2 linked regions of the Caenorhabditis elegans genome follow. The protein of the gene in region 1 purifies or fractionates together with the protein of each later gene. This does not show direct contact. Each region holds a gene or a part of one and is shown in the gene's direction. Other genes may lie near its edges.

What was found. Proteins that work in one complex are often made in the same cells at the same time.
Region 2: the proteins of rab-6.1 (region 1) and vps-52 purify together in Caenorhabditis elegans (affinity purification with western blotting, with the first as the bait; one study listed by BioGRID). This does not show direct contact.

The regions. Positions count from the first base shown.
Region 1 is NC_003281.10:9,004,321-9,011,286, reverse strand, and holds rab-6.1 (Ras-related protein rab-6.1), read left to right. Parts: upstream 1-5,331; 5' UTR 5,332-5,337; coding exon 5,338-5,401; intron 5,402-5,449; coding exon 5,450-5,562; intron 5,563-5,609; coding exon 5,610-5,715; intron 5,716-5,765; coding exon 5,766-5,877; intron 5,878-5,924; coding exon 5,925-6,018; intron 6,019-6,082; coding exon 6,083-6,143; intron 6,144-6,190; coding exon 6,191-6,258; 3' UTR 6,259-6,466; downstream 6,467-6,966. Other genes in the region: F59B2.9 (F-box protein), read left to right, coding at 1-543; F59B2.8 (uncharacterized protein), read left to right, coding at 1,166-1,254, 1,352-1,573, 1,875-2,190, 2,633-3,313; zif-1 (Zinc finger-interacting factor 1), read right to left, coding at 6,752-6,936. UniProt on the Caenorhabditis elegans protein: The small GTPases Rab are key regulators of intracellular membrane trafficking, from the formation of transport vesicles to their fusion with membranes.
Region 2 is NC_003284.9:7,563,528-7,570,338, forward strand, and holds vps-52 (Vacuolar protein sorting-associated protein 52 homolog), read left to right. Parts: upstream 1-1,795; 5' UTR 1,796-1,803; coding exon 1,804-1,960; intron 1,961-2,002; coding exon 2,003-2,121; intron 2,122-2,183; coding exon 2,184-2,279; intron 2,280-2,321; coding exon 2,322-2,552; intron 2,553-2,606; coding exon 2,607-2,840; intron 2,841-2,890; coding exon 2,891-3,097; intron 3,098-3,147; coding exon 3,148-3,273; intron 3,274-3,382; coding exon 3,383-3,664; intron 3,665-3,712; coding exon 3,713-4,103; intron 4,104-4,150; coding exon 4,151-4,269; intron 4,270-4,321; coding exon 4,322-4,468; 3' UTR 4,469-4,618; downstream 4,619-6,811. Other genes in the region: sto-1 (Stomatin-1), read left to right, coding at 1-63, 115-189, 236-499, 573-691, 740-926; Apyrase apy-1, read right to left, coding at 4,741-4,854, 4,936-5,454, 5,529-5,643, 5,712-5,776, 5,893-6,036, 6,083-6,193. UniProt on the Caenorhabditis elegans protein: Acts as a component of the GARP complex that is involved in retrograde transport from early and late endosomes to the trans-Golgi network (TGN). The GARP complex facilitates tethering as well as SNARE complex assembly at the Golgi.

The DNA.
Region 1 (6,966 bases):
GCATTTGCAGAAAAGTGGATGAATAACAAGTCTTCAAAGGTTGAAAATCTTCGTTTTCAATGGCAATCTGATGTTGAATTTAAACTTGAAAATCTTAAAACAAGCCGATGGGATAGTACTAGAAGAGAGCGAAATTACATTTTCACAATGAAAAATGAATCAGTTCAAATTGATTGTTCCGATGGTTTTGAGTTGGAAAGAAATGATGGAAGGCTTGCAACATTTGTAGTTGAACAACAAGAAGATAGAACTCATATTTTGTACTTTCTCGTTTGGATAGAACTGTTTCCTGAGAAGAAAAGACTGGAAAATCTACCAAAAACGCTTGGACCTTTGTACAAACAGCTCGAAAAGATAAATCGTGATTATCCAGATGAATCATCATTGGAAAGACTTTTATCGAATCCTAATCTGGTGTATACAGAGTTTTTGGAAACTTATAAAGTACTGAAAAATATGGATGGAGAGAACAGATCACCATCTACTGGACAAGCTTTTCGAAGAACTATATTTGATAAAATTTACAATACTATTGATTTATAACATATGAAATATAATTTTTTGAAATGTTAAAGTAATCATTTTCTAGATTTTGAATAAATTTTTTTTTCATATATTCCTTTCAATTAACTCCGCTTTTTTAAACTACTTTCTAGGTTAGCTGAACTGTAAAAAGAAAATCAGAAAGATTCGAATTTCTGACACTTTTCAGGCCTTAAATATTCCCGGAGAATAAACTAAAAAGATAGTAACAAAAAGGCTAAAACCAACTTAATTTGGTCAACCACCAAATGGCAGTCCGCGGATTTTGAGCCGATTTTCATTAGTCGCACAAGGATGCTTTACCCGTGATTACGTGTTAGTTTCGGATCCTATGTTCTGTGAAATCAGTTTGGAAATTAGTTGTGTAGTTTTTTGTATCAATCGCGATAATAATCAAACCCTTGTCAAAAAGGCAATTAAACGTATCATTAGTACTTTGTGTCATAGTTGTGTGTGACCTCAAAGGGGTCCATCCTCTCTCGTCTCTCACCCGTTCTATTAGTACCACTGGGGAGTCTCTCTATTTCTCTGTGTACTCTTCTTCTGGGCTTCACCCTCGTTCATTTGCATATCGATCAAGACCATTGGTCACTCGTCTGTCACCATTGTTTCATTGTTTTCAATGGAGTTCATGTCAAGTCCGTTTCCTATTACAAAACTACCACTGGTGCCGCGTTGCAAGATTTTGAAATTTTTCGACTATGGAGACTTGTGAGTTTTTTTCCAATATTATACTGTAAGAACAACATTTTGTTTGAAACTGAAAGCCTCAAAGAACCGACTCAAATAACTTAGTTTTAATATCTAGATTGGATATATCGCTGTGCTCCAAACGAATGGCTCAAACTGTTCGAGATATTCATATAACCGCAGATTTACATTATTTGACGCTCGGAAAAGATAATCAACAATCGATTCAAATTCAATTTAAACAAGAACAAAAAGTGATTTATTGGGATTTCAAGTTAGACCTCGTGGAAGAGGAAATGCCAGAAAGACGAACTGTGGGAGCAATTGTATTTGAAAAATGGTGAGTGATTTTTTTGAAATAGAAACATTACGCATCATGAAGACAGGAGAAAGGCATGTGCGTAAGTAGGCAAGTAAGCACGCAGGTAAGCACTTAGAAAGAGGCAGGCAGAAATAAGCAATCTCGTTTCACGTGCTTACCTACAAAAATACCTGCCTGCCTGACCGATTAACCGCGTACCTGCTTACGCTTACATGCCTGCCTACCTGCCTGCCAAAAACAGATGTTCAATTTTTTGTGAATCTTACTTAGCAAAATTACTCAACAAATTTTTCAAACACCCATATACTTTATATTCCAGCCGAAAATATTCCCAACGAGAAATTGGTTTATTCCAATTTTCCTCCTATCATTACGATATTGAAGATTCAATTGGAGAAGTCTCAAAACATTTATTTTATATTTTTCCAACATCTATTGAAATTCGACTTTCTGTTCAATTCTGCAGAACTTTACGAAACTTATTTTCTTACGAGCATTTACAAAATATAGATGTTCTCACATTGCTTGGCTCAATTATGCTTCAAAATGTATTGGAAAAAATATTCTCAAGAGTGAAAATTAGAAGAAAACTTTGGGTGGAACCGGAAACTGATGATGAATATCCTATTTTACAGGTAATTTTTGATTTGAAAAAATAAGTTATTGCGTACTAATATTTAGATATTAACAAGGAAAGAGTTTCAGCACACATTATTATTATTACGGGTGTCTAGGAGTAGCCAAAGCCAAAAAGATTTTAGATTTTTTTTTAATTTTGTAAATACGCTGAAACTTTTTTCACTCCGAAAATTTTTCAGATGTTTTGTCTTTAAAAATTTGTTGAAAACACTTCACAAAACATTTTAAATCAAGGTGAGATTTGGAAAAGTAATGCGATTTTTCGGCAATTATTTTAAACAGAAAAGTGGGCTGAAACAGTTTAAGATTTACTTTAATTCAAGTTTAAAGTAGTTTTCTTTTGCTAAATTTTTTCTAGTAACCTATTTCGGATGTACCTTCTCAAATCACACGAGTTTCATTGAAAAGCCTAACCATGAGCCTATTAACCATTTTCAGGCTCTTCACGTGGAAAACTTGCATCTGGCAAGTGCTCGTTGGATGACTCGAGATCATCTTCTACAATTAACATGTTGCTCCGTGGACTTTCATGAGCATTATTTCGGATGGAAGGATCTTACTGTATTCGCTGAAAACTGGCTTAACAACAAAAACTCCAAACTGGAAATGGTCAGATTTGGATGGCCAAATGATATCGATTCTCTTTCTGCAAATTTTGAAGGACTAAAAACTCATAAATGGGATCCAAAACAACGAGAAAAGAAGTTTTTATACTCAAAGGATAATAGATTGCACCGAATAGATTGTACGAAGGGATTGGAATTGGAAAGAGATGATGGAGAATTGGCAACTTGGATATATGAACCAGATCCATTAACTTCATCTTTATACTTTCTAGTTTGGACTGAAAGATTTCCAGAGAAAAAGAGATTGGAAAAACTCCCGAAAATGCTTGCACCATATTATGAACAATTGGTTCAATTGAGAAAAGAATATGATGATTCTTGTAATTTAGAATGGCTTCTTTCAAATCCAAATCTAAAACTTGACGAATTTGTGGAAACTTATAGAATTCTACGTGGAATGGATTCAGAGGTTAGACTCTCTTCTATTGGAAGAGTGCGGAGACGAAGAATATTTGATGAAATGTATAATATTATTGATGCACAAAATGACTAAATTAGAGTTGACTTTTTTTATTAATAAATTGATTTGGAATGAATAAAGTGGAGAGGTTATCTATCGATAACTTCGTATTATGCTGGAGTGTTTCACTGTGGAGATACTCAACAGCTCCAAATCAAAACTGCTCAAAATTGATTTTAGATAAAGATAAAGTTTATGCGAAGAGGGCATTCACCGACAAACACACACACGGGCAATAAAATATCTTTTTTTATCAATAAACACATTGAATTCAGTTCAGAGTTGAGCGATTTAACCATCCAACTTGAATCCTGGTAATTAATTTTCTTCCAGGACTTCGTCAATAAAATTCATAGCTTAACAAAAAATACGAAAAAAAAAGTTTAAAATTCACAAAAGTTGAATTTCTGATTTTAACCAACGAGACTCACATTTCAGGAGTGTGGCTTTTCAGTTATGGTGCATCGTATGATACAAAATGTTGACCCATATAACTAAACTTTCACAACAAGTTATCAGTAAACTATACAATCACTTGGTTATGTGCTCGATGTCCACACAACTTTCACTGTCTGCGTCTTCTCACACATACATTCTCTTTGTTTCTTGTCCCACTCGGTCAGCAACAGCCGTCCGGTTGTCCCCAGACCCCCTACCCAAGTGCTTTTGAAATCGAAGCGACAATTCAAATGTTGTCTGAGTCTCCTCGTCTTATCGTGTTCTTACTGCTCCTTTCCGCGTTCGACCGCGCCAAGAGCACGCACTTTTCCGCCTTTTGGGGTGCCATTTCATGTGGACCACTTCGAACACTTAGGTTCTCGACATGTTAATTTTTCTGTAATTCATTAGTTTATTCGGAAACTTTCATGAACATGTTCAGTGCATCGATTGATATACGTGTACAATCGATGAGTAATCATCATGCATTTTTGATAAGAAACACTTTTTCTTTAGTTTCATATTCCTAACAGAAAAAAATTTGCGTTTTGAAATAAAAGTTTAATCGTGCTGCAACGCCAAATTAAAACGCTCCGCCCACATATTTTGGGTCTCGTTAGGTACTGTAGAAAACCGTAAACTAAACGTTTTCAATTTTTTTTCTTTTTCTATGTTATGCCTAACATGTTAAGAGTTTCTATTTTTATGTCGAAATTAATGAGATATGAGATAAAATTAATATCCGAATGAAAATTATTTTATTAACATTATTTTGGCATAAATATCTTTAAACATGAAAACATAACAAAAAAGACTAAAAATGATTCAAACCGAGTGAAATCTTACGGTTTTGCTACCAATACCTAACGAGACCCAACGTTTGGGGGCGGTACCTTTTAAACTCAGAAATTTAAAGGCGGGGCTTCGTTCCAAAACTGAGAAACGTGAGTAAAAAGTAGAACTTTTTAAGCAAACAAACTATTGACTGTCATGTTTATTTTTTTTTCGAGTTTCCGCTCTAAAAATTGTTAAAATCTTGATATATTTGTTCACGTTCCTGTGTCTCCGAACGAAGCTCATCCCACGAATCGCATCGACTCTAAAATACACTAAGTTTTGAGACCCGAAGAACTCGGGGGATGTCCAATTGGGGGGATTACCAACTCGGGGGATTGGCCCCGCCCACAGAACCGTGGCTTGCAATACGCCCATTTCTGCAACTGCCGCACGGTTTTAAAATCATTTTTTCTTGTTAATCCTCACTCTATTGATAAAAATACAGTTTTAAAACCGTGCGGCAGTTGCAGAAATGGGCGTATTGCAAGCCACGGTTATGTGGGCGGGGCCAATCCCCCGAGTTGGTAATCCCCCCAGTTGGACATCCTCCGAGTTCTTCGGGTCTCCTTCGGGTCTCTAAATTTTACGCAGAAATGCAGAATTCTGCAATTTGACGCCAAGTTTCGTGTTTCTCACCGATTTTTTTTTAATTTTTAATTTTCTTGCTCTTGGAATCTTTAAACAGCCAAATTTGGAAACCTTCATATTATTTTTTAAGAAACGTTTGATGTACCTTGTTCTTGTTTTGTAATTCCTCTTCAAACAAATAATTTCAGTTACAGATGGCTGATTTCACAAATAACGCTCTCAAAAAGTTTAAGCTCGTTTTTCTCGGCGAACAGAGTGGTAAGTGATTCCGAGGGCCGTTTTAGTTTCAAAAAAACTTATATTCAGTGGGAAAAACTTCTATCATCACCAGATTCATGTATGATTCGTTTGACAACACCTATCAAGCCACCATTGGAATTGACTTTCTCAGCAAGACTATGTATCTTGAAGACAGAACCGTAAGATACCATGTAGAAAATTGAAACTAAATTAATTACCTTGTCAGATTCGCCTTCAATTGTGGGATACCGCTGGCCAGGAACGTTTCCGATCTTTGATTCCATCTTACATTCGTGATTCGAGTGTTGCCGTTGTCGTGTATGATATTACTAGTGAGTTCTACTAGAATCTGAGATTTTAAATTATTTTAATAATTTTTCAGATGCCAATTCCTTCCATCAAACAACAAAGTGGGTTGATGATGTTCGCAACGAACGTGGATGTGACGTCATTATCGTGCTCGTCGGAAATAAAACCGATTTGGCTGATAAAAGGTAACGAACATGCACTCTAAAATTATTCCAAACAACAAGAAATTCAGACAAGTTTCGACGGAGGATGGAGAAAAGAAGGCTCGCGATTTGAATGTGATGTTCATTGAAACTTCTGCAAAAGCTGGCTACAACGTCAAACAGGTACTTATTTTTGAAATTCGTCTGAAAATTTTCAGACAATTAAAGTAAAAATAAGCCTTTTCAGCTCTTCCGCAAAATCGCTACGGCACTTCCAGGAATTGTCCAAGAGGAGACGCCTGAGCAGCGTAAGATTCTTATCAAACATTTTAGTGATTTATTTTAATTTTTTCAGCCAACATCGTTATCATGAATCCTCCTAAAGACGCGGAAGAGAGCCAAGGCCGTCAATGTCCGTGTTAAATCCAATCCGCAGCTTTTCATCAACCAAATTTATTATTTATTTTCCAAATATGGGTTTTCAAAAATTAGCAACTGTTTCTCTCAACTCCACGCTTATGTTCCCGTTGTTGCCTTCCTCTTCATCGCTCATCAAAATTTAAATCGAATCTATTGCCTGTTTCAAATGTATCGTGCTCAAGTGTACCGTAAATGAATCGAATAAGTCTGTATTGACAAAATTGAACAGGTGGAAAAATGAAAAGTAATATCATTACAAATAGCAGGAAGCGTCAGAAAATTGCAGGCGGTATTAAATTAGGGGTGAGGGTTTAATAAATCATTAAAATTCTAAATTTGGTGATCAGATCACTCGGGGGAATGTGTTTAAAAAATAAAGGAATTATTAGTTAAAAATAATAATTACGAATTATAGAATATAAATACAAAATAATTATCAGAGGGGGTGGGGGGAGTGTCATGCTAATAAGGGGGTTTACTTAGTTTTTTGAAATTATTATTGTTGAATATTTATCGTGCACAAATTTTCGGCAGTTTCTTTTTCAAGTTCTTCTTGCATTTTAAGGCAGCATTTGATTCTATAGTAACTTGGGTCGATTTCGACAGATTCCTTGAGAACTTGAATACATTTTAGCTTCAATGAAAGTGGCTGGAAGAATGGAAGCTCGCAATAACTCATCCCTGAAAAATTACGATGAAGAAAACGTCTAT
Region 2 (6,811 bases), on another chromosome or scaffold:
TGTATTGATACTTTCTTGAATATCGATCTGCGTGTGGCATCGTACAATGTCCCTTCACAAGAGGTATGTTGCGCAACACACCTGCTCACTGTGATATAATCTTTCTCTCTTCAGATTCTGTCTCGCGATTCGGTTACCGTTTCTGTTGACGCAGTTGTCTACTTCAAGGTGTTTGACCCAATCACTTCGGTAAACTAAACAGCTGGTACGGTTCAATCTAATTTGGAATTTTTAGGTCGTCGGAGTTGGCAATGCGACCGACTCTACCAAACTTTTGGCTCAAACCACCCTCCGTACAATTCTCGGTACCCATACCCTTTCAGAAATTCTATCCGACCGTGAGAAAATCTCCGCCGACATGAAAATCTCGCTCGATGAAGCTACAGAGCCATGGGGAATCAAGGTTGAACGTGTCGAGCTTCGCGATGTCCGTCTTCCATCTCAAATGCAACGTGCTATGGCTGCTGAAGCCGAGGCTACTCGTGATGCTGGAGCAAAGGTGAGCCGACATGATGAGCATAGCAAAATGCGGGGGACCAATAATTATTAATTTCGATTGCAATTAATTTCAGATTATCGCTGCCGAAGGAGAATTAAGAGCATCTGCCGCTCTTGCTGAAGCCGCCACCATCATTTCAAAAAGCGAGGGAGCCATGCAGCTTCGATATCTGCACACACTCAATGCTATCAGGTAATGGAAGCGCACTATCAACTTTTAACTAACAAAATAAAATTTCAGTTCCGAGAAAACCAGCACAATCATCTTCCCGTTCCCAATGGAGATTCTCGGAGGAATCAGCAAGGTTGGTTCAGGAGGCACATCTCAGAACTTTCCAGTTCAAGAAATGATGAATGCCGCCCTTCAATCCATTCAACGTCAGGATACAGTTCCAGCCACCGCATCTTCCTCAGGAAGCCGACTCTGATTCCAAGCAACGCAAAATGAGCTACAGTTTCGTCAAAAAACAAAACAAGGATCAACTCGAAGCATATTGATAATCTCTTTCCTGTTTGAAGTATTTTTTTTTAACTATTAAACTGTATTATTCAACTGTATAACACTTAATATTTATACTCGATTTCCACCTCATTCACTTCCAAATTGCACATATCGGTTGTCAAGGCATATCTTTGAGAGGTTGTCTGAAAGACTTCCGATTTTGCTCCAAATTTTTTCAGTCATTTTTCTCATCATAATAATAATATATATATGATTCTCCACGTTCCATTGTATTTTTCAAGTGTATTTTTCCAAGAAAATGAAGGAAGCCATATAGTTTAGAAATTTGTCTAATTTTTTGTAAAACGGGAAATATTTGAATCGAAGGATTCAAAAAGTTTTGAGAAATTTTTTATTTCGAGCCTAATGCGCTGAAAACTAGGTTTTCACCAATTATTATGAAAGTCTTTGATCAGAAAAATTCATATTTTCACTTATTTTTTCACTAAACAAAAATCCAAATTTCAATATTGTTGGGGTTTGAAGATTTAATAGTGTTTTAGATTTCTCGTAGCGAATTGTCAAAAATATACCAAATAGATAAATTAAATTCTCTATAAAAATTCAAAAATCCACACATTCTCATTTTTCCAATTGTTCTGCATAACCTCCTTGGCGAGCATTTTCCTCGCCTTCCTCGCACACAAGCACACCATTATTCTAAACACCGCGCGGGGTGTAAAAAGCGGAGCATCGTTTAACGACGTGTTACCAATTGTTTTTTCTTTGGTTTATCGCTATTTTTTATTTATTAACGTTAGTTATTCATCAAAATTTTTATTGAAACAATTTCAGCACAAATAATGCCTCGAACACGTGTCAACTTGCAAAAATCCGAGGCAAATGACCGTAGTTTCACAATATCGTCGCTAGAATTTTGTTTATCGCAATTGCGAAAAGCAGATCCGAATTTGGTGAAAAAAGCAATTGCTTCTGGTGACGGACTAACCGAGTCGAAAAGTATGTCTCTAAATGTCAACATTTGAAAAATCAATAATTCAGACGACGTCAGCACGCGGCTATCGGAGGCACATCGTTATTCTGTTCAACAGTGTCTTGATAACTCTGAGCAGTTGGCTCAACTCCATAATCAACTTGTGCATTGTGATAATGTTTTTGAAGTAAGTATATTGTAAAAATTGCCAATATATAAATCAGTCGACTATTTAATTAAACTTTTTAGCGCTTGCAAGCAACATTGTACAGTTTTCAAGACAATCTAGGATCAATTGGGCAGGATATGAAAAATTTGCAGCTACAGTCGCATCATATTCATCAAGTAAATTAATTTTCCAATTTCAACGTACTATAATCTTCTCAGGAACTGGAAAACCGGCAAAAAGTTAGAGTCGAGCTGAGCCAATTTGTAGACGATATTGCTGTTTCTCAAACGATGATGAAAACTATCAACGACACTGATGCAAATGACAGGGGTTTTTTGGAAGCGCTCCACGAGTTACACCACAAAATAACCTTAATTTTGCAAAGGGGAAATGGAGATGCGGTAGCGGTAAACGACACTATGCCGATTTTGGAAGGACTAAAGCTTAAGGTTGGGTGTTTTTTTTTTTACAAAAGTTTACATTTCAAAAATGTTTTTTTTCAGGCGGTTGTAAAAGTGAGGGAATGGTTGCTTCAGAAAATGTTCCAATTCCGTAAACCTCTGTCCAACTACCAAGTTTTTCAACACCAGCTTCTCAAATGCCGATTTTTCTACGAATTCCTGTTGCACCATGACTTGATCTCTGCCAAGGAACTTCAAGACGAGTACATTGACACCATCAGCAAGATGTTCTTCACGTATTTCAAAGCATACGCCACACGCCTGTTCAAACTTGCGGTAGGTTGAGACACATTTTTCAAGTATATTCACCAGAGTAATTATTTAAGATGAAAGACGTGGCCACCAAAGAAGACGCTTTGGGAAGTATTGATTTTGCAAAACCCGCTGGATTAGGCGCAATTTTCTCGTCGAAACAACACGTTGTTCGGAATAAGGCAACCGTTTTTTCGATTGGGCAACGACATCAAATTCTCTCTGACGACTTTTTAGGAGCCTTGATTGTTCCCCACGCAGCTACGCAGAACCATCAATCGGTATACCTTACAATAGAACTGGTAGGGACCAAATTAAATTATATTTTCAGTATCAATTTGAAGCACTATTTCGTTCTATTCAACTGGCATTTGTCGATCACTACAGCCATGAGTACCTCTTTATTACCGACTTTTTCCTTGTCAGCAATGATGAAGCCATTGAACTGCATAACAAGGTATGTTACGAGGACCTGGAAAGACCTAATATCTATTACGTAGTAATGTTACATTTACAATAGTTGTTTGCCTTTTCACTACCGGAAAAAAGCTTATAATTGCTTTCAGGCTATGGCTCGAGCAATGTCAGTTGTGCTCAAAAGCTGCGAGGAGCAAATCGCCCTTAGTTGGGACGCCATCAGTCTTCATCTGTGCATTTGTCTATGTGACAAGTTTACCGAAGTGCTCGCCGAGAGAGAGGTACCAGAAGTTAGCGATTATTGGAATACTGTCACAAGCTTCCTTTGGACCCGCCTCAATTTGGTCATGTCTCAACACTACGAAAGTGTCAAATCTGTTGATTTGAAGAAGTTGATGCATAGCGGTTCACTTGATGCAAGACCGCATTTCGTAAGTTTTTGATTGTTTTTTATAATCAAAAAAATTCAGATGTTACAGATAGTCCGACGGTACGCCGAACTGACAAGTGCACATTTGATGATAGCAAAAGCAAGTGGAAAGGAAATGGGTGCAAAGATGGAAGCTGTCTTGGAGAACAGTGAAGACTCTATTGAACAACTATTGACTCGAATGTCAGCTATGCAGCAAACTCAGAAAAATAAGCACGTCTTTCTGATTAACAATTACGATCTTATTCTTTCGATTATCGATAACGAGGAAAGCAAGCATACAAAGATTTATGCAATTGTCCATGAGCTTGAACAAAAAAGTATTGATGATTTTGTTGAAGAGATGCTAGAGCCACATATTGGGTACATGATTAAATTTGTCAACGAGTGTGAATCTCTGATTGTTCAAGGTCATACACAACTCTTAGTTCGATATAATGGCAAGTTGTCATATATAATTTTCTATTCTCTAATATTTTAATTTCAGACAAAGTTGGAACGGTGGTAGCAAACTTCAATGCAAAGTGGAGACCTGCAGTGGACAGTATTAATTCAGAATGCATACAACTTTTCACTAACTTCAGCCTGGGAACCACCATTTTACAGGTTAAAATTTATTTCCTAGAGCCGAATTTCAGTTTTAACTAGATGATTTCAGACAATCTTCACAAAGTACGTTCAGTATATCAATAGATTCACAAAGATTCTGTCCCATGACGTATTTGCTAAAAATCCCGTGTGTTCCCAGTTAGTCAACGTTCATCAAGTGATGCTCGAAATCAAACGGTTCAAACCAGCATATTAAGAAAAATATTGCCAATGTTATTTTATTTTCCCGTGTAGACTTTGTAAATTAAATAATTTATTGATTCCCACTTACTTGAGTATTTTTTTATATATATTTTTACCCACTGGCAGCTTTATGCATGCAAAAAATGTTGAATAAAATGTTTATATATTTATTTTATTTAAATAACCATTACATAGTATTTGACAAAAATCACATAATATCGAGAACACAGATTTGGACCTGACTGGAAGGTGGGAATTGAGACAAAAATACATTAATTGAAGTGATTAGGCAAATGCAATTCCTTCGTATTTGTATGGACCATGAAGAAGATATTCGTCAAGAATAACATTACCATGAATGTCGAAAACACTTGCATAACTTGCTACTGGTTTTCCATCCTGGAATACAATTTTATAAACCGAGCATTGAGATTAACGGATTTTGTTTTTAAAATTGTGTAGATAAAACCTGTTACTTACCTTTTCCTCCGACTTGATGGCAACGATGAGCTGGTGATGAGTGTTTGGCACAAATTGGAAAGCAGCAAACCCTCTGGATTTGTTATTCTCCGATCCTACTCGCACAACCTCAAAATCAGTCAACTCTTCATTTCCAATCACAAGAACGTTTGTTCCGCGGTTCTCGTCCTCCGCCTCAGAATACTTCTCATTTGACATTCTACGTGGAAGGAAGAACCATTTTCTGTGAATTGCAGACCATTGAACAGCTTCGTGAATCATGTATCCGGGATATTCGATCCCAGCAGCTCTACGAACGCGGATATATACATCCTTCCAGTTTTCGTGATGAACGGCTCCGTGAGCAGAGACATGCTTCACCCACATTGGGTGATCGTTCACATAAACTCCGTCAGTGGTCGTCCATTCTTTTCCCAATCCTCCAACAATCAATTCGGTATCCTTAACAGTGATCCATTCTCCTTTAAATCCCTTCACGACGTTTCCTGGCCCATCGTTCAGTAATACCCAGGGAAGTGCCTTCAAAACAATATTATATTTTTTAAAAATCAATCCACTACACAAATATCATTGTTTAACCACTCATCACTCACCTTCTTGTCACTAATTTGATAAATAAGACCTGTTCTATCGTCAATTGAGTACAGTTTACCATTGAAGACGGCAAGGTCAGACAACTCCATAGCGCGTCCACCGGCGGCAATATTTCTAAAATGATGATTTTAGTAATGAAGTCAAAACAAAAAAATCTATAAAAACACATTTTGTAAACTTACGTGTCAACATAGTACTCCGAGTCTTTGTCAAAATGAATATCGGCATGCTTGTGGTCTGCAGAAACCTGAAATATAAATTTGAAAATTTCCTATAGCGATTCGAAAAAAGCAAGTTGCATTTTATAAAAATCATATTGGTCAAGCTGAGCATAATGCATTAGTTTCTTGCCGTCCTTCTCACCTTCAAAAATCCACGAGAGACCAAACTTTTCCACTTCTTCCCGTCTTTGCTGTCATGATCCAAATCGGTGATCAACATTATTGAGTATTCTTTTGCTCCATCATCAAACTTCTTTACCGAATACAAGTTAGCATGGTTGATGTGCTGTAAATGGATATGTGCGCAATCAGCTGAAAATGTAAAGAGTTACCTCTTCCTGTTCGCTAGATTTGTTGAATTGGGTACCCGAATAAAAGGCAATAGCGGTCACAAACCCGAAAAGAAGGAAGTTGAAAAAGTTTGAGTTACTTTCTTGTGTCATACCTAAAAATTATTTTTGTGAGTCTTAATTATAAGCATTAATTGAAAGTAAGAGATTTGAGAAAATATAAGTAGAATAAAAAAATAAAAAATGGTGTAGTTTTCCGAGAGTACTTCACGGCCGCGTGGCCTAGTTTTTTCAATGGGGACTCGATATTAATAACGAACACAAGTGCGTGTCCCAAATTGCATTTGCTTTATTGAGTGAGATATCGTGGCTGTGAAGTGGCAAAATATTTCGAGAACCGTTAATTAAACAATTTTATACATTTTTAAATAATGAATTCAAAATGATGCAAAATAAATTTAAAAAAACGTACAACTTCTAGAACAACGAACAATTGAGCTGTCTCGCTATCATCATCTTATCATTTTTGCTATCAAAAAATCGGTTGTGGGTTGTCGTAACACATCACAGAAGAAAGATTGATTGTGAGAGAGCCGGACAACATTTGTGCTAGCGGTCAATGTCTTTCCCGCTTAACATGGTCCCAATTGTACGATTGACCAGGAATCGATATTTCAGGGAAAGAAGAAAATACCAACAAGACATGACGAGAACAGTATTTATAGAGTGTGTCTGAGTGCGTTGGAAACACACGATTTTTGTGCTTTGTAG